Linked DNA regions of Nothobranchius furzeri. The protein of the gene in region 1 interacts with the protein of each later gene in a pairwise test. Links are inferred from orthologs where the notes say so. Each region holds a gene or a part of one and is shown in the gene's direction. Other genes may lie near its edges.

Region 1 (5,511 bases):
TGTGCTCAACCACGTCCTCAAGTCCAACTCCAGAGTCCTGGCGCACAACTCTCAGATTAGGGAGCAGAAAACTGCGGCCAAAGCTGGAGCCGAGCCGTACGAAGAACCCAGAGATCAGGGGCTGACCCGGCCAAAGGTAAACACCTAAAGGTCACATTTCTGTTTTCCTCAGCTGCAGAGATGTTTTCCTTAACCAACATTACCTAGGTTTCCTAGATCAGCTGGCGTTTCACCGACGCTATCACTTCCGCGTCTGTGAAACCACGCTCCCTATTGAATTATCGTATGATCACATTCTCTTTTTGTGGGTAAAACTCAAGAAAAAAAACTTTTTACTTGTTTTTTTTTAGTTTTATTACAAAAAGTGCATTTTATGATGAAATTGATGAATAAAAACAAGAATTTCTTGATATTTCGCATAGAAAAATACCGCGAATCAGTGAAAAATAACGCAAATCTGCGAATTCCCCCTGAAAAATGCTCCAAAGAAAAAATCCGCGAATCCGCGATGAACGAACCGCGAAGTAGAGAGGGATTACTGTAGATTGTAAAATTGAATCTGCGTTGCAAGAATAGAGCTTGTACGTGTGGAAAATGCTGCAGAAGAAAACTTTCTGAATCATCCTAAAAAGATCAGAACTGCAGTTACACAGCTGGTTCATAAAAACACAAATGTTCATGTGGCGTTTCTGAGGATTGTGTTCTCTGTGTCAGGTTCTGATTCTGATTCCGTTCCGAGGCGGGGCCTTGCAAGTGGTTCACACGCTCATCAGCCTCTTAGAGACGAAAAGTAAGAAGATCGTTGTCAGCAACAAGAAGAAGTTCAAGGAGGAGTTTGGAGAAGACCCTAATGACAAACCAGCTAATCTGCTAAGACCAGACGATTACAACGCCATCTTCTCAGGAAACGTGGACGACCACTTCAGGATTGGTATGATTTTGAAGGATCACATTCACACCATTTCTCTGAGTTTATCTCTAAGACTGCGCCGGCCTCCTCAGGTGTGTCCGTCGTGAGGAGCAGCATCCGTCTCTACGCTCCCTTCTACTCATCAGATATCATCATCGCGTCTCCGCTCGGCCTTCGCACTGTGCTGGGAGCAGACGGAGAATATAAGAGAGACTTTGACTTTCTGTCGTCCATCGAGCTCCTGATCCTGGATCAGGCTGATGTCTTCCTCATGCAGAACTGGGAACATGTCTTGGTGAGAACATCATGCATCTGAGGTGATGTGGCGCCACCTGCTGCCAGAGGAGTAACTTGACAGCTTAAAAGAAACTTTTCTTCATCAAATCAACTCCTCCAGCGTTTTACATCCTTTTACCTGTAAACAATAGTAGTTGATGTATTGTGGTGGATCATAAACACTTTAGCACAACTTCTCCGTGTTGTCATCCCCACCAGCATGTGATGAAGCACATGAACCTGCAGCCGCTGGACTCCCATGGTGTGGACTTTTCCAGGGTCAGGATGTGGAACCTGAACAACTGGGCCAAACATTACAGGCAGACGCTGGTGTTCAGCTCCATCCAGGACCCGCAGATCAACAACATCCTGACTAAACACTGTGCCAACTACAGGGGACAGGTCAGTCTTTGTGGAGACTTTATTAAACCTCGATTCTAAGGAGGATTCTGGTTGTCTGAGGGAATCCTGTGAGAGGAGGAGGGATTCCTGTGGGAATAGATTAGTAATTCCAAACTTGGTGTCCCAGAAATCAAGACGTAACCTGAGATTTCCAACAATTTACAGTTCAGTCACCAACCCTTCCCAGACTTCCACATTTCTTTTTGGGCATGTTTATAATTCCAATTCCCAAAAAGTGAGGCTGTGTGATTTGCATGAGACGTTCAGGATGGTTTAGTCTCCAGTAGGGCTGAACGATTAATTGCATATGCAATTAAATTGCGATGTGACAAAAGGAGATTTTCTTATCGCAAAGGCTGCGATTCGACTGGCAGCGAGTGGTTAGCACAATGCTAATATACATTGAAAAACCCATAGGGATGCTAATGCTAATATTGCCGAATAGATTCTTGCAAATAACGAATTAGAAACGTGCCAAATTATTACATTTGGAGTCTAATAAAAAGTTAAAACTGCCATTAATCAAAGAAGTACAGACAGATATTTTTGTAAAGCTAGAAAACTGTACTTCAACTCCACTGAGTTTTGGCTAGCAGCTGTGAACGTAACTGAACTACGGAAGCTCTGCATGGACAACACGTCAAAACTTCTTTCCTGCAAATAAGTTTTCACAGTTGATGCTAGTACCTATTCTCCTTCAAGGGATGCTCCTGGCTGCAGCATTGCACCTTCAAATACAAGATGTTGTCTTTACTTGTGAGTGTTCATGTATGTGTAGACAAAAAAACTTGTTGATATGTGTAGATACATAAACTTGTTTATATTCAGTACAAGTTACATAGATCTTGCTTCTGTTAGTTGAAAAATGAGAAAAGCCCCTTGAGAAAATAATTGTGAATTAAATCGCAATTAGATTATTTTCCAAAATCGTTCAGCCCTAGCCTCCACACCGCTGCCCAGCTTGCTGCAGCTCTGTGGGCTTCACTTGATTTTCAGACTTGTAGGCGAGGACTTGAATGCACCACACATGAACCTGCAGGTGTTTTTGTTTTCGTGCTCCAGGTTGTGACTAAAAACGTGCCACATGAGGGCTCCATCTGCCAGGTTGTGGTCCAGCTGCCTCACGTGTTTCAGATGTTTTCCTCGGAGAGTTTTGTTGATCATGACGCTCGGTAAGGTCTCCAAGAATATTGATCTGCTTTATTTTAAGGCTCGTCGTGTATTTTTACTCTCTTTTATACTTGAGAGCCTTAGTGAGTATCTTCACATCCATGCTGCTCTGACATTTTCCACTTGTAGGTTTCAGTTCTTCATAGATAAAGTTCTGCCTCAGTACAAGGACTCGGTCATGTCCCACACTCTCATCTACATCCCGTCCTACTTCGACTACGTTCGGTTGAGGAACCACATGAAGAAAGAGGAGATGAACTTCACCTCCATCTGCGAATATTCCAGCAAATCGGAAGTGTGTCGGGCCAGGCATTTGTTCCGGAAAGGAGAGAAACAGTTTCTGCTTTTCACTGAACGCTTCCACTTCTACAAGAGGTCTGTTTTTTTCTAACATTTAATCCAATTCTGTCACAAAGTTACTGTTTCTTTGTAAAGTTGGATCTAAAACCCATCAGGGTGACCTGAGTAAGAAGAAAATGCAGCTAAAATTTCCAGTTTGGAATTTTTTCTGAAATTGATTGAAATTTTATATATTTATGGACAATATGACTTTTTTCTTTCGTAATATGCATGAATCTAAAGATGTTTTTATTATTATATTTAACAAACAAATGTAATGAACTGTAAGAAACCAAGGCTTAAAACTAGTGGAGATGAATCATTTTATTGTTAATACGTATATTTTAATTGTCAGACTAATTTAAGCTGTTTTCATGGAAAACAAGGAAATGCACCCACATGTTTGAGCAGTCGTGTAAAACCAGCACCGTGCATGATGTGTAGGTTTGTGTGGCTGCAAAAACAACACACAACAAGTTGATCCTAAAATCCTCAAGAATTTGCTATAATAAGTGTTACCTGCCCCTAGTTGGATTAAAAAAACAAACTAAAATGGCTTTTCCCATAGGAAAGAAACTGATTAACTAAGAAGCTGTGGACCTTAAACTCTGTAATTGATTTATTTCATTCAGGTACACCATCAAGGGGATCCAGAATCTGGTATTTTATGGATTACCCAGCATCCCCCATTTCTACAGCGAGGTGTGCAACATGCTAGCTGCAGGGGGTCAGAGGGAGGAGGCCAGCAGGACCTGCACCTCCCTCTACTCCCGATATGACGCCCACAAACTGGCTGCCATCGTCGGGGCGCAGCGCGCCGGACAAATGCTGCACTCTGACAAGAAGGTTCACCTTTTTGTCACAGCTGAAGAGGAAAAGAGCCACTGACGGACGAGCAGTGGGATGTGATAGCCAAGCTGGTTTTCTAATAAAATGTGCAACTTTCAGTTAGATTTGTTTAATGTGCCGAAGCTGAAATATAAACTTGTCAGCTGTAGGAACCATAAAATATCACTTTTTAGATGTTTTGTGGCACAAATGTCTCCTTACCTGTTAGGGCAGTAGAGGGCTGGGCAATATATCGAAAATGTATCATTATCGAAATTTCTGACTTATCGAGAATTTTGCCCGTGTCAATACCCATCCATCCATTTTCATCCGCTTATCCGGAGTCGGGTCACGGGGGCAGTAGCCTAAGTGGAGAGGCCCAGACTTCCCTCTCCCCAGCCACTTGGGCCAGCTCCTCCGGGGGAATCCCAAGGCGTTCCCTGGCCAGGTCCTCCGGGGGAATCCCAAGACGTTCCCTGGCCAGGTGAGAGACATATAGTCCCTCCACCATGTCCTGGGTCTACCTTTAGGTCTCCTCCTAGTTGGACGTGCCTGGAAAACCTCACCAGGGAGGCGTCCAGGAGGCATCCTGACCAGATGCCTGAGCCACCTCAACTGGCTCCTCTCGATGTGGAGGAGCAGCGGGTCTACTCCGAGCCCCTCCCGGATGACTGAGCTTCTCACCCTATCTCTAAGGGAGAGCCCAGCCACTCATCGGAGAAAAGTCATTTCGGCCGCTTGTATCCGCGATCTCATTCTTTCGGTCACTACCCAAAGCTCATGACCATAGGTGAGGGTAGGAACGTAAATTGACCGGTTAATCGAGAGCTTCGCCTTCTGACTCAGCTCTCTTCACCACGACAGACCGGTACAACGCCCGCATCACTGCAGATGCAGCACCATTCCGCCTATCGATCTCACGCTCCAGTTTTCCCTCACTCGTGAACAAGACCCTGAGATACTTAAACTCCTCCACTTGGGGCAATGACCTCATCCCTGACCCGGAGAAGCATTCTACCCTTTTCCGAATCAAGACCATGGTCTCAGATTTAGAGGAGCTGATTCTCATCCCAGCTGCTTCACACTCAGCTGCAAACCGCTCCAGCAAAAGCTTAAGATCACGTTCTGATGAAGCCAACAGGACCACATCATCTGCAAAAAGCAGAGACCTGACCCTCAGGCCACCAAAAGAGATGCCCTCCACACCTTGGCTGCACCTAGAAATCCTGTCCATAAAAGTTATGAACAGAATCGTGACAAAGAGCAGCCTTGGCGGTGTCCAACTATCACTGGGAACGAGCCCGACTTACTGCCGGCAATGCGGACCAAGCTCTGACACCGGTCATACAGGGACCTAACAGCCCATATCAGAGGGCCTGGTACCCCATACTCCCGGAGTACCCCCCACAGGGCCCCCCGAGGGACGCGGTCAAACACCTTCTCCAAATCCACAAAACACATGTAGACTGGTTGGGCAAATTCCCACGCACCCCCCAGGATCCCCCTAAGGGTATAGAGCTGGTCCAGTGTTCCACGGCCAGGACGAAAACCACATTGCTCCTCCTGAATCTGAGGTTCAACAATCC
Region 2 (6,293 bases), on another chromosome or scaffold:
CTCTTTGGAGCCGATCGATAGTCTTTCTCCATGGCCTCACCAAACTCCTCCCACGCCCGAGATTTTGCCTCGGCAACTGCCACTGCTGCACCCCGCTTGGCTATCCGGTACCTGTCTGCTGCCTCCGGAGACCCACAGACCAGCCACGCCCTGTAGGCCTCCTTCTTCAGCCTGACGGCTCCCCGAACCTCTGGTGTCCACCAGCGGGTACGGGGGTTGCCACCACGAATGGCACCGGCCACCTTACGGCCACAGCTAGCAACAGCCGCCTCGACAATCGCAGAGTGGAACAAGGCCCACTCGGACTCAATGTCCCCCACTGCTCTCGGGACGTGGTCAAAGCTCTGCCGGAGGTGGGAGTTGAAGACCGTCTTGACAGGTTCTTCTGCCAGGCGTTCCCAGCAGACCCTCACTATGCGTTTGGGTCTGCCAGGTCTACGCGGCATGTTCCCTTGCCATCTGATCCAACTCACCACCAGGTGGTGATCAGTTGACAGCTCCGCCCCTCTCTTCACTCGGGTGTCCAAAACATACGGCCGCAGGTCAGATGATACGACTACAAAATCTATCATCGACCTGTGACCTAGGCTGCCCTGGTACCAAGTGTACCGGTGGGCATCCTTATGTTCGAACATGGTGTTCGTTATGGCCAAACTGCGGCTTGCACAGAAGTCCAATAACAAAACACCGCTCGAGTTCAGATTAGGTGGGCCGTTCCTCCCAATCACACCCCTCCAGGTCAAGCTGTCATTGCCCACGTGAGCATTGAAGTCCCCCAGCAGGACAATGGAGTCCCCTGATGGAGCACTATCTAGCACTCGTCCCAGGGACTCCAAAAAGGGTGGGTACTCTGAACTGATATTTGGCCCATAAGCACAAACAACAGTCAGGACCCGTTCCCCGACCCGAAGGCGCAAGGAAGCTACCCTCTTGTCCCCCGGGGTAAACCCCAACACACAGGCAGAGAGTCTCAGAGCTAACAAAAAGCCAACCCCAGCCCTCCGCCTCTCACCCGGAGCAACTCCAGCAAAGTAGAGTGTCCAACCCCTCTCCAGGTCTCGGGTTCCAGAGCCAATGCAATGTGTCGAGGTGAGTCCGACTATATCTAGCCGGTACCGCTCAACCTCTGCCACAAGCTCCGGCTCCTTCCCCGCCAGCGAGGTGACGTTCCATGTCCCAAAAACTAGTTTTCTTGTCCGGGGATTGGACCGCCAAGGCTCCCGCCTTGGTCTGCCACCCGATTCGCATTGCACCGGACCCTTCATGTTCCTCCTGCAGGTGGTGGGTCCACAGTTGGACGAGCCCATGTATCCGGTTCGGGCTGGGCCCGGCCGGGCCCCATGGGCGAAAGCCCGGCCACCAGGCGCTCGCTCACGGGCCCCAACCCCAGGCCTGGCTCCAGGGTGGGACCCCGGTAACCCTCCGGGCCGGGTACTCCGACTCTTCATTTTAACCGCCATGAAAGATCCTTCGATGCAAGATGTTGGTGAAAATTAAAGCTACACTGGATGCAAACATATCTTGTGAATTTGCAGAAGCTTATTGAAACAACCTCACAGTGAATGGGTGCTGTAGTCAAAGCTAAAGGTTGTGCAACAAAGTATTAGGTTGTGCAACATTTTCTTTTGGTGGCAACTTTTTTTCCTTTAGCTCCAAAGGGCAGCAGTAGCTCAACAGGTTGAGCGGGTTGTCCAGTAATCGAAAGGTATCATGTTTGATCCCGGCTCTGGACAGAGAATTCTGCTGTTGTGTCCTTGGGCAAGACACTTAGCCCACCTTACCTGCTGGTGGTGGTCGGAGGGACCGGTGGCACCTGTTTTTGGCAGCCTCGCCTCTGTCAGTGCGCCCCAGGGCAGCTGTGGTTACATCGTAACTCATCACCATCAGTGTATGAATGTGTGTGTGAATGGATGAATGATACATTGTAGTGTAAAGCGCTTTGGAGTCCTTACTCTGAGAGGTGCTGTACAAGTGTGGGTCATTTATCATTTAAACTGTAATTCTATCTGTGTGTATTTTACTTTGTGTTTTTATGTGTTTTCATACCATGTCCTGATAATTGTAAAACACATTGAATTGCCTCTGTGTTTGAAATGTGCTCTAAATAAAGCTGCCTTGCCTTTTGCTGGGCAGTGTACTAATCAGCTAGTTGTTATTCTTCTGAGATTCTTATATTTTGTCCTCTTTATCAATTCGATAGGCAACGTTTAATTTTAACTGAAAAAATGGTTTCAAAAACTGTCAGAATTCCTGACAGTCTTCCCGTTCCGCTCTCTCCTTTTCCAGGTGAAGCTGTGACGCAGGGGCTATGGATGGTGATGATATTAGTGTATCACTTGTTTGGGTCTCAACCTCACTCATCTGTTACTGAATAGGTTCAAACATCGATGCTGTTTCTATGGAGCCACTTGACCCAGTAAAACTAACAGTTTTATTATAAAGATAAAGTTTCTTCTAGGACGCTTAAATCGGAATCGTGATCAGTTCGTTTCATCCAACTTTACAAGCCAAAAAATGTTTTTTTTCTTATTCACTTTATTTGTTCAACTGATCATTTTAAATTTGAAGCTATAATCCTGACAGCGACAGACGCTGAGGCGGGATGATGTGTGGAAGAAGAGTGTGGGTGCGCACGGCTCGGGTTTGTTGCGCGGCCACTGGAGCAGCGGTGAAACTGATCCCAGCTGCTACTGTTGGAGGGGGAGGAGGGGTGAGGAAATCTATTCCAGTCCCCTGTGGGTTGGTCACGTGCCCTCGTTTGGTTTGGGGGAACCGCGTCAGGAGGGAGAGGAGGAGGAAGCGCGCAGCTGCGCACAGCTGAGTTGGAAAAGCAACATCCTTCAGAAGCGGGTCCAGAAGATCCACATCAGTTGTTTTGTTGTTGTTTTGGGGCGTTGTCACGCGGTGTCTGCTGATACGCTGACACAACGCGTGTGATCACTGTGGCACTGCCTCGTTGAAACTTCTCTGCTCACGAAAACTACCATCCTGTCAGCGCCTGCCACAAGTCGACCTCCAGAAACACAGAGGGAGAGCTGTCACCGGGGACCGAGGTAGGCTTTCTGTCTCTTCCTATGGGGGCTCGGGGTGTTTGGGCTTGAGAGAACCGGAGCTGGACGGGTAAGCAGTTTGTGTGTGTGTGTGTGTGTGTTTGTGTGTGTGTGTGTGTGTGTGTGTGTGTGTTTGTGTGTGTGTGTGTGTGTGTGTGTGTGTGTGTGTGTGTGTGTGTGTGTGTGTGTGTGTGTGTGTGTGTGTGTGAGTGCACACAACTGATGCAGAAAAACGTCTCAGATTAATCAGCAAATGTACTCAAGCAAATTTCTCATTAGTGGTAAATTTTACATCTAGTAGTAATTATCTCTTTGCGCATGTGTTAGATAGTCTACAGTGATATTAGGATGTATTTAGCAACCTCTATTCATCGTTTTCCCCCAAGTGCCCTGCACTGATCAATAGTGACATTGTGTATTGATTGAGATGACATGACCTGAGCTGAACCCTGCTGTTAGCGCATTGTGGATGATACTTATTGACTTTTACTGTCAAAACTGTCAAATTTATGTTGTATTTTTATGTAAATAACAAAACTATAGATGTTATTGGATGATGAAGTAGTTGATCACTGAAATAGGATTTTTACCTTTTTGTGTTGGCTCCAGTGTTTTAACTGTTGAAGTAATGCTGCTGGTGACAGGAGACAAAAGCTGGTTTGAGTTTGGCCTCCAAAAAGCTGAGTCTAACATTCCCCCCCCCTCATTAATAATGCACCAATTTTAAACAATACAAATGCAGGGAAGCGGGGTCCAATGTCGAGTGTTGCTTCTCTCTATTTCTTATGTTTAGATGATGAATTCTCTATTAAATAAACTTTTCCTAATGTGAAGAGGACACATTCCATATGGGTGGTCAATGTCGATCAGCCATGGAGTAGAGCGTTGTGCTTAATGAACTGGTGTTTCGCCAGCTTCTAAAAAGTCATTTATGGGCCCGATCGTTCTTGCTCTCTTGTTGCTGGATGATCACAGCCTTTAATGAGACAGGTCTTTGTGCATGGGGCTTGACACTCTCTGAGACAAGGCTGCTAGTTGGGTGAATACAGCTGACACCCTCATCCGTCAGGCACCCACAGGGTGCTGCCTACTTTCTCACTCTATCCATTTACTGCCTCTTTCTCTCGTTTTCAGGCTTTCTTTCACTCCTGCGCTCTCCCACTGCACCCTCAGATGATAATTATTAAGACTTTATAATGATGACATGAGCAGTGAGGGTTTTTTCCCTTCTGTGGGGAGGAATGGGTGTTGGTGTCTACACGCTGGGATGATTATAGTTGTGACAGAGGGTTGGAAATCATTGCAGTTGAAGCATTGACTTCCTAGAATAGTTCAGCCAGGTATCTGTTTATCTCTGTGTTTGTTTCTGAAGCTGGAACTCTGTTCTCGGACAAAGCAAAGGAGGATCAGCCTTTTACCAAAGAAACATGTAAATATTAAACAATGTAAGATTTTAAAAAAGTACATGTTTTTATTTGTTTTGATTATTTGAGTTTTTGATTGTTAACTTGAGATGATAACGCTTAAAGAAAGATGCTTTACTACTTATAGGTTATGAATATGTAAAATACACACATAAAATACACACATAAAATACACAACAGCAGTAGCTCATGTGGTGGAGCGGGTTGTCCAGTAATAAGAAGGCTGCAGATTAAATCCCGGCTCTGACCAGAGATTGCTGCTGTTGTGTCCTTGGGCAAGACATTTAACCTGCCTTGCCTGCTGGTGGTGGTCAGAGGGACCGGTGGTGCTTGTGTTTGGCAGCCTCGCCTCCCTCAGTGAGCGCCAGGGTGGCTATGGCTATATTTTAGCTCATCGTCATCAGCGTGTGAATGGGTGAATGACTGATTGTGTTGTGAAGTACCTTGGGGGGTTGTAGAACCCTAAGAAGGTGCTAGGGTCTGTTTCTGAGCTGCAAGGCCTAGCTTGGTCCTTTGCAAGGCCAAGTGTCCACACTAGGGCTGGACAAAAGGATTATTTTTGTAATCAATTAATCTAGCGATACTTTTTTCGATGCTTCTAACTAATCTGTCAACTTAATTAGATTTCAATTCGATTAGATTATCGATTATTTCCCCATTATTTGACTTCTATAGCAATTTGAGTATTACTAATGTATGTATCTCAATGAAATAAACACACATTTCTTCATTTGAACACATTTTATTAAAAAAAATTCTAAAATAAAGTTGTTGTAGTAGTAGATGACGCACCTTATATCTATATGATCAACAATCTGGAGGAGCATGAAGTATAGAAAATAAGTTCAAACAGGATGAGGTATTACACTTTACAATCAAGAGTTCATTGTCATTTTGCTTTAGCAAGAACTTCAACAATGTTGGAATAGTGTCTACGACGGCCGTGACATTATCTTTAACATTTTTACTTTGGCCAATTTGCGCTCTCTCACATTTTCGGCTCTCGGCAACTCTCATAATCAGCATGTGCGCATTCAGAATTATTTTGCCAGCATGAGCCACAAATAAAAACCAACAAAACAGGTAACAGCTGCTGCTATTTGTTACCGCTATAGCAGCTTCAATGAGTTGAGGTTGAATGTTTTTCTCAGTGTGTGTGAGTGAGTGAATGAGACTGTGAGTGCGTGGGTCTGCTCGTGTGTGTGAGTGAGTGCATGTCTACGTGGGGGTGTTTGGATGGTAAATAACAGCGTTAAAATTTGAGAACTTACGATGTATTTTTGTTTGAAGGCACTGCTCCTGGATGCCGTTGTTTGATGTGCTGGTGAATGGCCGTCGTGGTTTCGTCATAGGCCATTTCCATTTTACAAAGCTGGTAAATGACTGAATCGCTTCCTTTTCTGTTGAAGTAGACCCATACTTTTGAACTGTGAGTGATTTTCGCCGACCGCCTCACTCATGTTGTCGCTACTCGCTGCTGCCGTGTTTGTTTTGAACGTGATGACGCATCGATGCACATTTTTTACGTGGACGTATTTTGGGATGAGTCGTCCCAGCCCTAGTCCACACCTCACCCTTCTTCGCAGTTATGGATGATGGACAGTAACGGAATGATCCATGTGCACTCCTCTCTCTCACTTATAACAAACGGTAGTGGAAAATTCTGTGCGCAGCCCCTCAACCCCACCCCAGCTGTCACGGAGGATGGACGGCAGCGGAACGATCCATGCGCAGCATAGTAGCTGGTTGCCTGCCCACCCGATTGCCGGCCATCATCACAATGGTATTTAGGGCTGCAGCTATCGAATATTTTTGTAAT
Region 3 (5,991 bases), about 24 Mb from region 1:
TGGGTTCCAGAACTATGCATCATACTGTACGGGACACAGACATACAATGTTAATCTGGTATTGCACAAATATTGAACACACACGGAGAATTGCATTGATGTTATTGTGTACCAGGATAATTTATCCATCCATCCATTGTCTGAAACCGCTTTGTCCCACGTAGGGTTGCGGGGGGGCTGGTGCCTATCTCCAGCGGTCAATGGGCAATCAGGCGGGGTACACACTGGACAGAGAGCCAGTCCATCGCAGGGCAACACAGAGACACACAAGACAAACGATCACACACACACACAGACATTTTATACAGACCAATTAACCTAACAATCATGTTTTTGGACTGTGGGAAGAAGCCGGAGTACCCAGAGAGAACTCACACATGCACAGGGAGAACATGCAAACTCCATGCAGAAAGATCCCAAGCTGGGGAGTGAACCCAAGACCTTCTTGCTGCAAGGCAACAGCTCTAACCACTGCGCCACTGCACAGCCCTGTACCAGGATATGACACGTCTCTAAATAAAGTAAAATTTTCTAGTGCAAGAGAGGAGACAACCCATAGAAGCACTGATTTGATCTCGTTTCAGAGAAAAATATAACAGGTTATAGATGCACCTAATAAATAAAATTACTAACAAACTCAGGAATCTTTCTTTGCTTCACTGTTCTGGTGCTGAGAATATCACTAATGCGGATCAAGGGACATACACAGATGAATGCACCTCTTATTTATTATTTGGAGACTACATTTACTGCAGCTGGCAGAGACAGAGATTTTTTCTATTGATACACAGAGTTTACAGAATCATTTTAAATGTTAATAGGGGAAGACTGCAGGAGGGAGCGGTAAAATACAGGGGGTCCCCAGCAAAAACAAGAAACTTTACGAGTCTGATGAAACCTGCTGGTTTTCTATCAGACAGTCACGGGCAGCTCCAACGTCCTAGTGGCTGTGCTGGGTCAATGTTATCGAGCTCAGTCCGGCTCGGCCATAGACTGTACATGCAGTCGGCAGAGGCGACGTCGTGCTCTGCTTAAGAAGCGGTGTTATTTTCCCACTTCAGAAGAAGCGTCCAACGTGTTTTTACGCTTTCTCCGAGACATGTCACGTCGCTAAGTTGTTAGCGCCGCGCACTAACACGTCAATAGTGCAACGTAGCCTGCTGGAGGTTTTAAGGGTTCAGATGAAAGCACCCAACCTCTCAGGCTGCTCACGCATCGATCTTAAGTTGTCGCTGTTGCGCTCATGCCGTAATACAGTATTAGATGCGGTTAAAGTCAGACATGAAAAAATAAATTTTATATGAATAAGTGATGCTTAGCCTGGTGGGGGGAGTAAAATGTGGCCTAGTAAGCACTGGAGGAAAACCTGTCAAGATCGTCAACACTCGTTTATCTTCATGCTATTGAAACATGTAAACCAAAAGGCATTATATCCACTGCTACCTTTCTAATTTTAAACTCAGTAACTTATGCTGTAACTTCACCTTGCCCTGCCTGCTCCTTGCTGCCCGCCGGCTGTGATCACAAGCAACAACATAGTAGTTCCCGCTGTTTCGAGAAACAGCGCCAACAAAAACAAAAAAACTTGGGATCTTGTAGGCGTGGCGGTGGGATTTCAGCCGTGGCGACCCGCCACGGCTACGCCTATGTAAGGGAAACCCTGCAAAGTTGGCCGACCATCATCCAGCTCTCCACCCCCATCGAAGAAACGCCACATCACAAAACCCTCACAACCACAACCAGATGTGCGATACGACCGCTGTGGGCATTGGCCACTTCACTGTGACAAGCGAGTCCGATGCAGTTATTGTCCAAAGGGTGTGTCAAGATGGAAATGTCAGAAATGCAATGTTTTTCTGAGCTTGAATGCAAATCAGGAATGCTTTGCAGTGTACCACCAGAGGTTCTAATGATCAGGAGGTATTGGTGCAGTTGCATCATAAATGAGAAAAGAAAAGAACCAGAAAAAATTCAGTGTGTTCTCTAATTTCCAGTGCAAAGTGGAAACGGTGAATAGGATACTTTTGGAATTTTATGGAAAATAAAAAATGTTTATGCTGTTTCAACACTACAATGTAAGGTCAGAAGTAAACTTGCATGTTCTGAGCATCTTTTACAGTACTTGTATAAAATCTTTCTGATCATTATTTGTGTATCTTTTTTTTACACTTTGTTAGAATAACTTCCAAATTTGAAATGGAATCTAACTGTTTGGTGTCTTACTACCAGAATAAAGTGGGTAAAATTTTTGAGTAGTTATTTTTATTTCAAAATGAGTATAATGCTGACTTTTTTTCCCTAGTTGTTATGTCTATTTTACTTTATTTACTTTTACCATAGAGACACATCTCAACCGTTTGGTAGAAGGTAGTAATTAAAAAACTAGGAAGTGTGTATAAAAAATATATTGATTGTGATCATTAGTCACTAGAAGGAATAGAAAATACAAACAAATAATTTTTTCATTAGGTTTTTCTTGGTGGGGCAACCTAGTCGCTGGTCCTAGGTGTAGTGACTCATGTTTGCCGCTAGATGGCAGCAGGCTCCAAACCCCACGGCTGGTCTGCCAAAAAGTGACAAGAAGGAGATCGCCATTATTCTACTCCATTATTCTGCACTCAAAACTTTCTTCAGATTCAGAATCAATCAGGAGTTAAAGAGCTGGAAACCAACGGATAGAGCCAGATTTGTTCTGAGACGGATCGTGCCTGCCCAGCGGGACTCGGTGAGTTTATCGGGGTCACCCCCCAGGCCGTGGTTTAGCTAACAGGCTAATTTACCACTCACTGGTCAGGGAACTAAAGTGGTTTTACACCTAACCTTTCCGTGTAAATGATCACGAAGCGTTATAGGGCCCAATGCTTGTCGGTGTAGGAAGAAAAGTAGGGGTCGGAGGAGTTTGTGTCTTCAGGCTGATTCTTTAGTTCTTCAGATTGGAAAATCAACCTGAGTATTAACCACAAGTTTCGCCCCAAGCCGCCTCCTACCGGTTGGTTCCAGTATAATATTTAAGCCCCGCTCTCTCAATGTAACCGCGGTTCATCCATCCACCTGTTTCCTGTTGTTGGTTCTGAACATAATGCATGCTGGGCTGGGATCAGTTATTAGATTTTAAAAACACCTGACTAATGCAGGTGAGTAGGCGGAGCTTTCATCCAGGTGAATACCCACACACACATTGACGTCCTCCTGCTGATGAGCTACAGTGTAGCCACAGCTGCCCTGGAGCGCACTGACAGAGGCAAGGCCTGGCGTTGGTACAGGATCCGCTCGGGGTCCTTCGACCGCCGATGACGTCAAAGTAGTTGATTGGCTGAACATGAAGCTTACAGAAGTTATGCTATCACGTTATGATTTTGATTGGTCAACAACTTTGCGGTCGTAGTCTTAGCGGTTGTAATCCTGTAGTCCAAAAATCAACACTTTTTGGAGAAAATATGTTTGAATTTCTAAAGGAAATGTAAAATATAAGCAAATGATAAACGGTGACCCTCAAAAGCTCTTGATGTTGATGAAATGGGGCAAAATAAAATATAAGAACTTTATTGAAAGACACCAAGCAATATTTTGAGTCAAAGAATGTATTTACATAACAACTAAGGAAATATACAGACGAACTCCACATTAATACAAACAGATATGGCTTCCCATATAAGAACTGTTCTGTTTTTTTGTCAGTCCGATGTTGGTTTTATGCAGTTTCACATTCTTTACAAAACAAAGATAATATGGTGTTTTATTAACAAATTACAATTATAAAGAAAACATTTAGGTGTTAACAAACAAGAATTTATTAACAAAACTGCTGATGTCTTTCCAAAACGTGTGTGAAAGCTGAGTAGATTTGCAGTGATGTGACGTCATCGGCAGTCGAAGGACCCCGAGCCGATCCTGCACCCGAGCAGATCCTGTACCGACACCGGTACTGCCCTGATCTCTCTGCAAGTATTCCCATATAAGGCCTTCCTGGAAGTTGTAAAGCCCTAGTTATCAAAGGAAGTTAATGCAGTTAAAAATATCCCACATTGCACTTCTACTTTCTTTATTGTATTTATTTACATTGTAAATAAATTGATTAAAAGCATCACTTGTAAATCCGTCCTGATATCACTAAAACATGGAAACCGTGTTGCTCTGAAGTTCATGGAAACAACACGGATCTCTGGCTGTGGACTGTTGGGTGAGTTCTGTATCGTTGTTGCATATTACAAAAAGGTTTACTTTGATTGGCGCTACTTTGTCTTGATAACAACAGATGATTGGTTAGGTGATTTGCAGTCATAGCAGTTATGTAACCAGTAAAACTGACATGCGTCTAGCAGAATAACACAAATATTTACACAATATCAACGAAAAGTGGACTGGACTCCTCGGATACCTACGCCAGGATCCTGTTCGTGGGCTTCAGCTCTGCCTTCAATACAATCCTCCCAGACCTCCTTCAAGACGAACTGTCCCAGATGAACGTGCCTGACTCCATCTGCAGATGGATCATTGACTTCCTGATGGACAGGAATCAACAAGTCAGGCTGGGGAAGAATGTCTCGGGCCTGCGGACCATCAGCACCGGTTCCCCTCTGGGTTGTGTTATTTCCCCTCTGATCTTCCCCCTACACCAACGGATGCACCTCCAACCACAAGTCTGTCAAGCTTATCAAGTTTGCAGACGACACCACCGTCATCGGACTCATCTCTGACGGGGATGAGTCAGCCTACAGAATGGAGGTGGAGCGGCTGGTGTCCTGGTGCTGCCACAACACCCTGGTGCTAAACAGCCAGAAGACAGCGGAGGTTGTTGTGGACTTTAGGAAGCACACAGCCCCCCCATAACCCTGTCTGACATTCCCATCGCGATGGTGGACTCATGTCGCTTCTTGGGCACCACCATCACCCAGGACCTCAAGTGGGATCCCACCATCACCTCCTTTCCTAATGTTGTGATTTTTCGCACACGTGGCAGTAAAACCCTTCTGATTCTACTCACAGGTACGCATAATGAAAGGAAGCCTAGTGAATGTCTGACTTTCCTTCGAACTTTTATTTCTAGTTCCTTTTTGCTTTCATCAATATATTAGACTGTTTTTTTTGGGTCCAATAAGGTCACCTGTTAGCTGTAAATAGCCTGCTAAAAGATGAAATGTTTGTTTAGAAAATAATAAATTGTACTCTGATTCAGGTCAGCAGTCTGGGTTTTTAGTTTTCTCCTCCTAGGTAGTGGACATTTGAAGGTTAAAATGTTTGTGTGCACTTGTACTGTTTATTCTTACCCATTTCAAATCTAAATCTTATGCTATTTAACTTCCATTTTCTTTATTTCAGCAGAACAGTCACCTGGAACAATGGAGCTTCGTTGCCCTTAACTGGATGAACCCAACCAGTGATCAAAAGGAACATCCTCCTCTGGTCCAGGAGCTATAAGCAAAACCAGAATGCAGATTGTTCTCACAACAAGTGGACTTCCCATCATGTAGGTGAACACTAAACACCAAAGTCCAGTGGTGTTTTTGTTTATGCATAAGTTAGCATTAGCATTGCAGTCCATAGGTCTTTGCTTTTATAGGAAGTTAAGTTTGATGTTGACTTCTTGCTTAGGAGGTTTGCAGTCGGGATGAGGATCAACTCTTTAAATCTGAGGCACGGTTCTCAACCAGAAATGGGTGGAGAACCGGCTTTGGGAGGAGGAGAGGTTCTACCTCAGGTGGACGAGTTTAAGTATGTTATTCATGAGTGATAGAAGGAGGAAGCAGGAGATCTACAGGCGGATCAGAGCAGTGATGCAGAATCAGACAGCTGTGGTGAAGAGAAGCTAAGCCAGAAAGCAAAGCTCTCATTTTACCAAGTCGATCGTTGTTCTGATCCTCAGCGATGATCATGAGCTTCGGGTAACAACTGAAAGGACAAGAATACAAGCTACCAAAATGAGTTTCCTCATCTGGGTGGCCGGACTCAGCCTTACCCCAAGATTCCACTATCTCCGCTCCGCAGCCGCTCA
Region 4 (5,550 bases), on another chromosome or scaffold:
CTTTAGTAGGAGATTTATAACACGCATGAAACGCCATCTGTCGGTCTACGTACCCCAAGGAAAGCCTCCGTCAGATCCAGAATGCCGAGGTCCTCAAGGACCCTCTTTGGTACCGAAGACGGTAGAAAAGCAGCGGTGCCGACCAAACTAGTCTTGGAATGCTTCCAGGTCACGACAGGTTATCACTGGCGTCTCCGAGACCCTGAAGTGGTCGTGAGGTTCAGCTTTTATTCTGAAAGAACCATTGCGGTCAGTTGTAACTTGCAACAGATTTTATCCAGCTTGTCTGAGGTTCTTTATGGCTGAAGAGGAAGTCCAGATGGCCTGTCCGAGACTTCTCTAGAACGCTTTAAACTAAAGAAAAGGTGGCGTGGGATAGTTTTTATAATTGTCATATTTTGGCAGAATTTGACATGCAAAAGAGGGTTTATACTAGGGCAGCACAATATATCGTAAATATATCGTTATCGCGATATCAGCATGCACAATATGCAAATCGCAAAGAACAGAAAAATATCGCAATGAATGGTCAGCTCAAGTGTTTGCTACACATGATGCATTCTGTCAACCAAACAGAAACGTGATGTTTTTTTAACAAATCACATAGAGCTCTTCACCCATTTAGCCAATTGGGTGGTTCTCACTGGTTAGATGCCTGCCCCCGAGGCGGAGGGCACTTGATTTTGATGGTTAGCAAACACCTGAGTTAACTTTGCTCTGCTTTTCCCGGGATCCACCGATTGCCTTTTCTTGTTCATTTTCATTTTCCCTTTCCCCACATCTTTAGCTTTTCTCATTTTTATGATTTATTTATTTCTTTGTTTTTGATAAGTTTTGTTCCTGAGTTAAGTTTTTATTCATCGCAATTAATGTCGTCATTGCAATATTAATCATTGTTATTGAACATCGCAGGTTTTCCTAATATCGTGCAGCCCTAGTTTATACAAACACCACAGATACCCACGCCTAGTCCCAGAATGCGAAGGTTCTGATTGGATCAGACAAAAGGAAGTGTGTCATGTGACTTTAGCATTATGTGTCCTTAGTGTCTGGTGCAAATGCCCAGGATTATAATAACTTGTAAAATACTATTGATCACATGATTATAATATCAAGTAATAACATTGTCATTTCACAGATTGATTGAACATTGGGCTCACATTATTAACAAAGTTGTTGATTATGTATTCATCAAAATAGTTAGTCGTCTTTGCTGTAACAAAGGTGAAGCAGTTCAGATGAGCAGAGTGCATGAAAGACCTTTGCCACTATCTCATATAGATTAGGCTGTCAGAGACTTTATGTCTCTGCTCAAGCAGACACAGCAGATCATGACCTTTAGGTCAAAAACAGGACATTCATGACGCTATTATATATATATATATATATATATATATATATATATATATATATATATATATATATATATATATATATATATATATATATATATATATATATATACACACACACACACACATACACACACACTTGTTTCCAGATATTTTGGACATTTTATGATGTCAGTCTTTTACGTTGTTTGAACTCCAAATTTTCTTTTTTTTTCACAAGGCCATGCTGTTTTTAAATGTACTATAGAAATAAAACTGGATTGGATTGAAGGTGAGTTTGTTATTTTGATGATAAATATAAACATATTGTTTTGACAATCTTCACAGTCCTGACCCCGAAAGACCCCATGGCAATAGAGAGATCAAACCTCCTCAGTATGCTGAAGTTAAGCACCAAGGTATTAATCCAGTCCTCCTTGAGTCTGGGCAGGACTCTGGACTCGGAGTACCCTCCTCTTCAGCAGTTTTTTATTGTCCTTGAACACTGCCTCAAACACGGCCTTAAAGGTGAGCCATACCAACATATACAGTAGGGCAAAAAAGTATTGTCAGCCACCAATTGTGTGAGTTCTTCTACTTAAAAAGGATGAGAGGCCTGTAATTTTCATCATAGGAATAACTCAACTTTGAGAGCCAAAATGAGGAAAAAATGTCCAGAAAATACTTTTTTTTTAAATATATAACTTTCTTTAGCATTTTTTTCATCTTTTACAACAGTAATGGAAAAAAGCAGGATAAAGAAAAGGGGAGGGGGTTACCAGGAAAAACAAAAAATAACCTGTGGGGGGTGGGATACATGGAATGTTCACATGGTAAAAGAGAAAATTATAGAAATGTCCACTTGTGACACAATATAAAAAAGTATGTCCTCATTTACTTGTATGTCAACCATTTAGTCCAGTGCTTATTATACATGTGCTTTGATACGCATAAAAAGGGTCAGTCTCTCCATCTTGCATATCTCCTCTACTATCCCCATGGTTCGACCAGGGGAGCAGTGACTTTGAGCCAAGAAGTCCACATTGTCTGATTTTTAAAGAATTTATTTGCAATTTATGGTGGAAAATAAGGTATTAGGTCTTCTACAAACAAGCAATATTTCTGCGTCTCACAGACCTGTAACGTCTTATGTAAGAGCCTGTCCCCCCATCTGGTGGGGGTGGGGGGTGGGGGGTTCTGCAAAGGAACCAGGATGACAGGTCCTTGTAAAGGAGAGAATGAATGGGCCATGTATCGTCACATTTTGAGTGAAAATCTCCTTCCATCAGCAAGGGCATTAGAGATGAAACATGGCTGGGTCTTTCTGCGTGACAACGATTCCAAACACCGCCCGGGTAACAAAGAAATGGCTTCATAAGAAGCATTTCAACATCCTGGAGTGGCCTAGCTTGTCTCCAGATCTCAACCCCGTAGAAAATCTTTGGAGGGAGTTGCAAGTCTGTGTTGCCCTGCGACAGCTCCAAAACATTGTTGCTCTAGTGGAGAGCTGCATAGAGGAATGGACCAAAAATACCAGAAACAGTGTTTGAAAACCTTGTCAAGACTTGCAGAAAACATTAAATCTGTCATTACCAACAAAGGGTAAATAAAAAATTCTTGAGATGGACTTCAGTTATTGATCCGACAATGCGATTTTCTGTTGTTTTTTTTTTCATATTATCTCACATAATTTAAGTATTCTTGTGATGAAATTATAGGCCTCGCCCCTCTTTTTGAGTGGAAGAACTTGCACACAATTGGAGGCTGACTTTTTTTGCCCCACTGAGTTTTCACACGCTGTAATATTTGAATCAAAACTAATAGAGTATTTACTTGGATATATTTCAGCCAAGAAATCCTTCATCAGTCACAAGTCCATATGGGGACCTCTTGAACTGGTTGAGAAGTTGTGTCCAGAGTCTGTCAACATTACCACAAGTGCCAGGGATCTTCCAGGAATCAAGTGAGTCTTTAAACCCATCCAGCCATCCTCTTCCACTTATGCGGAGTCGAGTCAAAGGGGCAGCAGCCTAAGCAGGGAGGCCCAGACTTCCCTCTCCCCAGCCATTTGGGCCATCTTCTCTGAGAGAACCCCAAGTTCTCGGCTCCTGGGCAGCCTAGAGACATATGCCACTTACACACTAGCATCGGCTCCACTCCACTCCGCTCCTCCCGCCCTAGCATTGGCTCCACACTGCCCAGATAGCCCCTGTCGGCCCTAGCCTGGCCCGGTTGATTCCACACATGCTTGCTTAGGAATGCAGTCAGAGACGTTTTCAGCTCGGGGTTTCCGCTATATATTTTTTGTCGTGCCATGGCAAAATAAAAGCCACCACACCTTCAGAAGGATGAAAAAAAAAAGTTAAAACAACATACCTTAAAGGGACTTTACGGAGTTTTGAATTTTTATGCTCGCGATTGCCCCTTCAGGCCAAAAGCGTAACGGCAGCTTCAATAGTAGGCTCGTGCACGAGGCGCGCATGCTGTACGTGCACACTCCTTAACGCAAATACAGCTGAGACAGTCCCGTGTGTGTGTGTGGCCCGGAGGACAGGAGAACGCGCAGCTAATTAATTAAATAATTTGATTCTGTACCTTTCTTTCTCTTCAGCACAGCCGACAAAGGTTTATGATGGGTCAGTCCGTCAGCTTCACAGACCATTCCCTTCCCTTGCTTGAAAAATTGTTCCAAAATGAAAGTTGAACCCACATCTTTTTTATCTGTGAATTCAAAGCCGTTCGGCGAGTCTCAAATAAAAATTTGGGCATCTTACTGTAAAAATATATACCATTAATGTAAAAACTAAACTCTACATAAATTACATTCACATCAAGAATCAAACCTGGATCTTCTGCTCAAGAGTCTGATGTCTAACTAGTTGAGCTAAAGCGCCAGTGAAGTCTGGGGTATCTGTAACTTTTATATCCTAGATGACAGCTGAAACAACGTTCAAAGAATGGTTCGGAGCGAAAATGGCTATTTTGTTGCTAATTTGCTGGAAATATCTAGAAGAAAGTAGCTAAGGGTCCTCAGAAATGTAGGTAGGTTCATCACTAGGCGTTAGGAACAGCGACAAAGTCGCTAAGTTGGCACTACCTCACTCTCTGTTGCTTAAGCTACGGATAGCAAATGGTACGGGCTATGCCTGAGCGTGAACGCGCATGAAGCAGCCCGCTCGACCCGAGCAGCTCTCTTTTTCTGTGATTTTACAGAAAAATCGACATAAACAGGAAATCACAGTAAAAATGCCAGGGCTCATTCTACAGGACCAGGGCATTGCAGGAGAATGTATGAAGAAGAAATTTATTATTTCTATGCATGTTTTGGCTGTCAAACTTCCATAATGCCCCTTTAATAATTTATTTTGTGGATTTACATTAAAACAATGTAAATATGAGACATCTATAGTCTATATTTGCACATGTATACTAACCATAATCAGTTTAAAATGATTTTAAATATAACAAAACTTTGAAATTTGTTTTTCTTTGAAAAACTAGTACTGCTGGTTTTTCCCCGCGTGCGAAGGCTCCCTAAACGTGCATCACGCGCAGTGCGCAGGGCACAGAGGGGCCAGAGGGGCACCAAGCAGTCAGGTTTATGAAAAGAAAGATAGATTATATTAACTGTAGTATTAGCTACTGGACGACATGCACACACACGGCGTTATTTCACACACAGAATCCCATGTGTCTAACTCAAGCCAATGTGCTTCTCTCCGCTCTGGATGTGAGGTGGGCGGAGCGATGAGCTTCACCTGCGGTAGATGAGACCGGCAGACCCGGTTCTCTCTCCCAAAACCGTGAGTCGCCAAAACGACGTGATTTTATTTAGAAATGCAGCCGATTTTGACGGAGTTTCAGTCCCAAATGTTTTTTGTCTAGTTTTCACTCATCAGCCACATGCTTGCTACTCTCACTCATAGCAAGCTGGGCTTTCTACCGTGGTGACTCGCTCACACGTCCCTCTCCTACATTAGTTGGTTACGCGGTGAATTAATGTTTTAATTCACCGCGTAACCAGTGTGTTTTTTCTGTTTGGGAGACGAACCCCTCCTCGGTAACCGGGTTACTGGTACGGAAGCCCGGAAAGGTCAAAATTCCTCAAACATATTTTTTCCTACTGGCTGAAAAAAATTTATTGGATAGAACAGATTAGATGTATTAATCCCACAGTGGGGTCATTCACTCATCACAGCAGCACATACACTTAGAGAAT

The links.
Region 2: the proteins of utp25 (region 1) and mid2 interact in binary tests that used the Homo sapiens proteins (3 or more experiments, as listed by UniProt). The link is inferred for Nothobranchius furzeri from reciprocal best matches to the Homo sapiens genes UTP25 and MID2.
Region 3: the proteins of utp25 (region 1) and mipol1 interact in binary tests that used the Homo sapiens proteins (3 or more experiments, as listed by UniProt). The link is inferred for Nothobranchius furzeri from reciprocal best matches to the Homo sapiens genes UTP25 and MIPOL1.
Region 4: the proteins of utp25 (region 1) and rufy1 interact in binary tests that used the Homo sapiens proteins (3 or more experiments, as listed by UniProt). The link is inferred for Nothobranchius furzeri from reciprocal best matches to the Homo sapiens genes UTP25 and RUFY1.

Annotation. Positions count from the first base shown.
Region 1 is NC_091758.1:40,758,149-40,763,659, reverse strand, and holds the end of utp25 (U3 small nucleolar RNA-associated protein 25 homolog), read left to right. Parts: coding exon 1-136; intron 137-714; coding exon 715-931; intron 932-1,002; coding exon 1,003-1,205; intron 1,206-1,405; coding exon 1,406-1,588; intron 1,589-2,650; coding exon 2,651-2,760; intron 2,761-2,887; coding exon 2,888-3,133; intron 3,134-3,729; coding exon 3,730-3,985; 3' UTR 3,986-4,044; downstream 4,045-5,511. UniProt on the Homo sapiens protein: Component of the ribosomal small subunit processome for the biogenesis of ribosomes, functions in pre-ribosomal RNA (pre-rRNA) processing. Essential for embryonic development in part through the regulation of p53 pathway.
Region 2 is NC_091741.1:89,375,687-89,381,979, reverse strand, and holds the start of mid2 (probable E3 ubiquitin-protein ligase MID2), read left to right. Parts: upstream 1-2,916; 5' UTR 2,917-3,053; intron 3,054-6,293. UniProt on the Homo sapiens protein: E3 ubiquitin ligase that plays a role in microtubule stabilization. Mediates the 'Lys-48'-linked polyubiquitination of LRRK2 to drive its localization to microtubules and its proteasomal degradation in neurons.
Region 3 is NC_091758.1:16,331,480-16,337,470, forward strand, and holds the start of mipol1 (mirror-image polydactyly gene 1 protein), read left to right. Parts: upstream 1-2,585; 5' UTR 2,586-2,724; intron 2,725-5,318; 5' UTR 5,319-5,428; coding exon 5,429-5,466; intron 5,467-5,991.
Region 4 is NC_091741.1:103,300,921-103,306,470, forward strand, and holds part of rufy1 (RUN and FYVE domain-containing protein 1), read left to right. Parts: intron 1-1,679; coding exon 1,680-1,859; intron 1,860-3,179; coding exon 3,180-3,294; intron 3,295-5,550. UniProt on the Homo sapiens protein: Activating adapter involved in cargo sorting from early/recycling endosomes. Regulates retrieval of proteins from endosomes to the trans-Golgi network through interaction with the dynein-dynactin complex.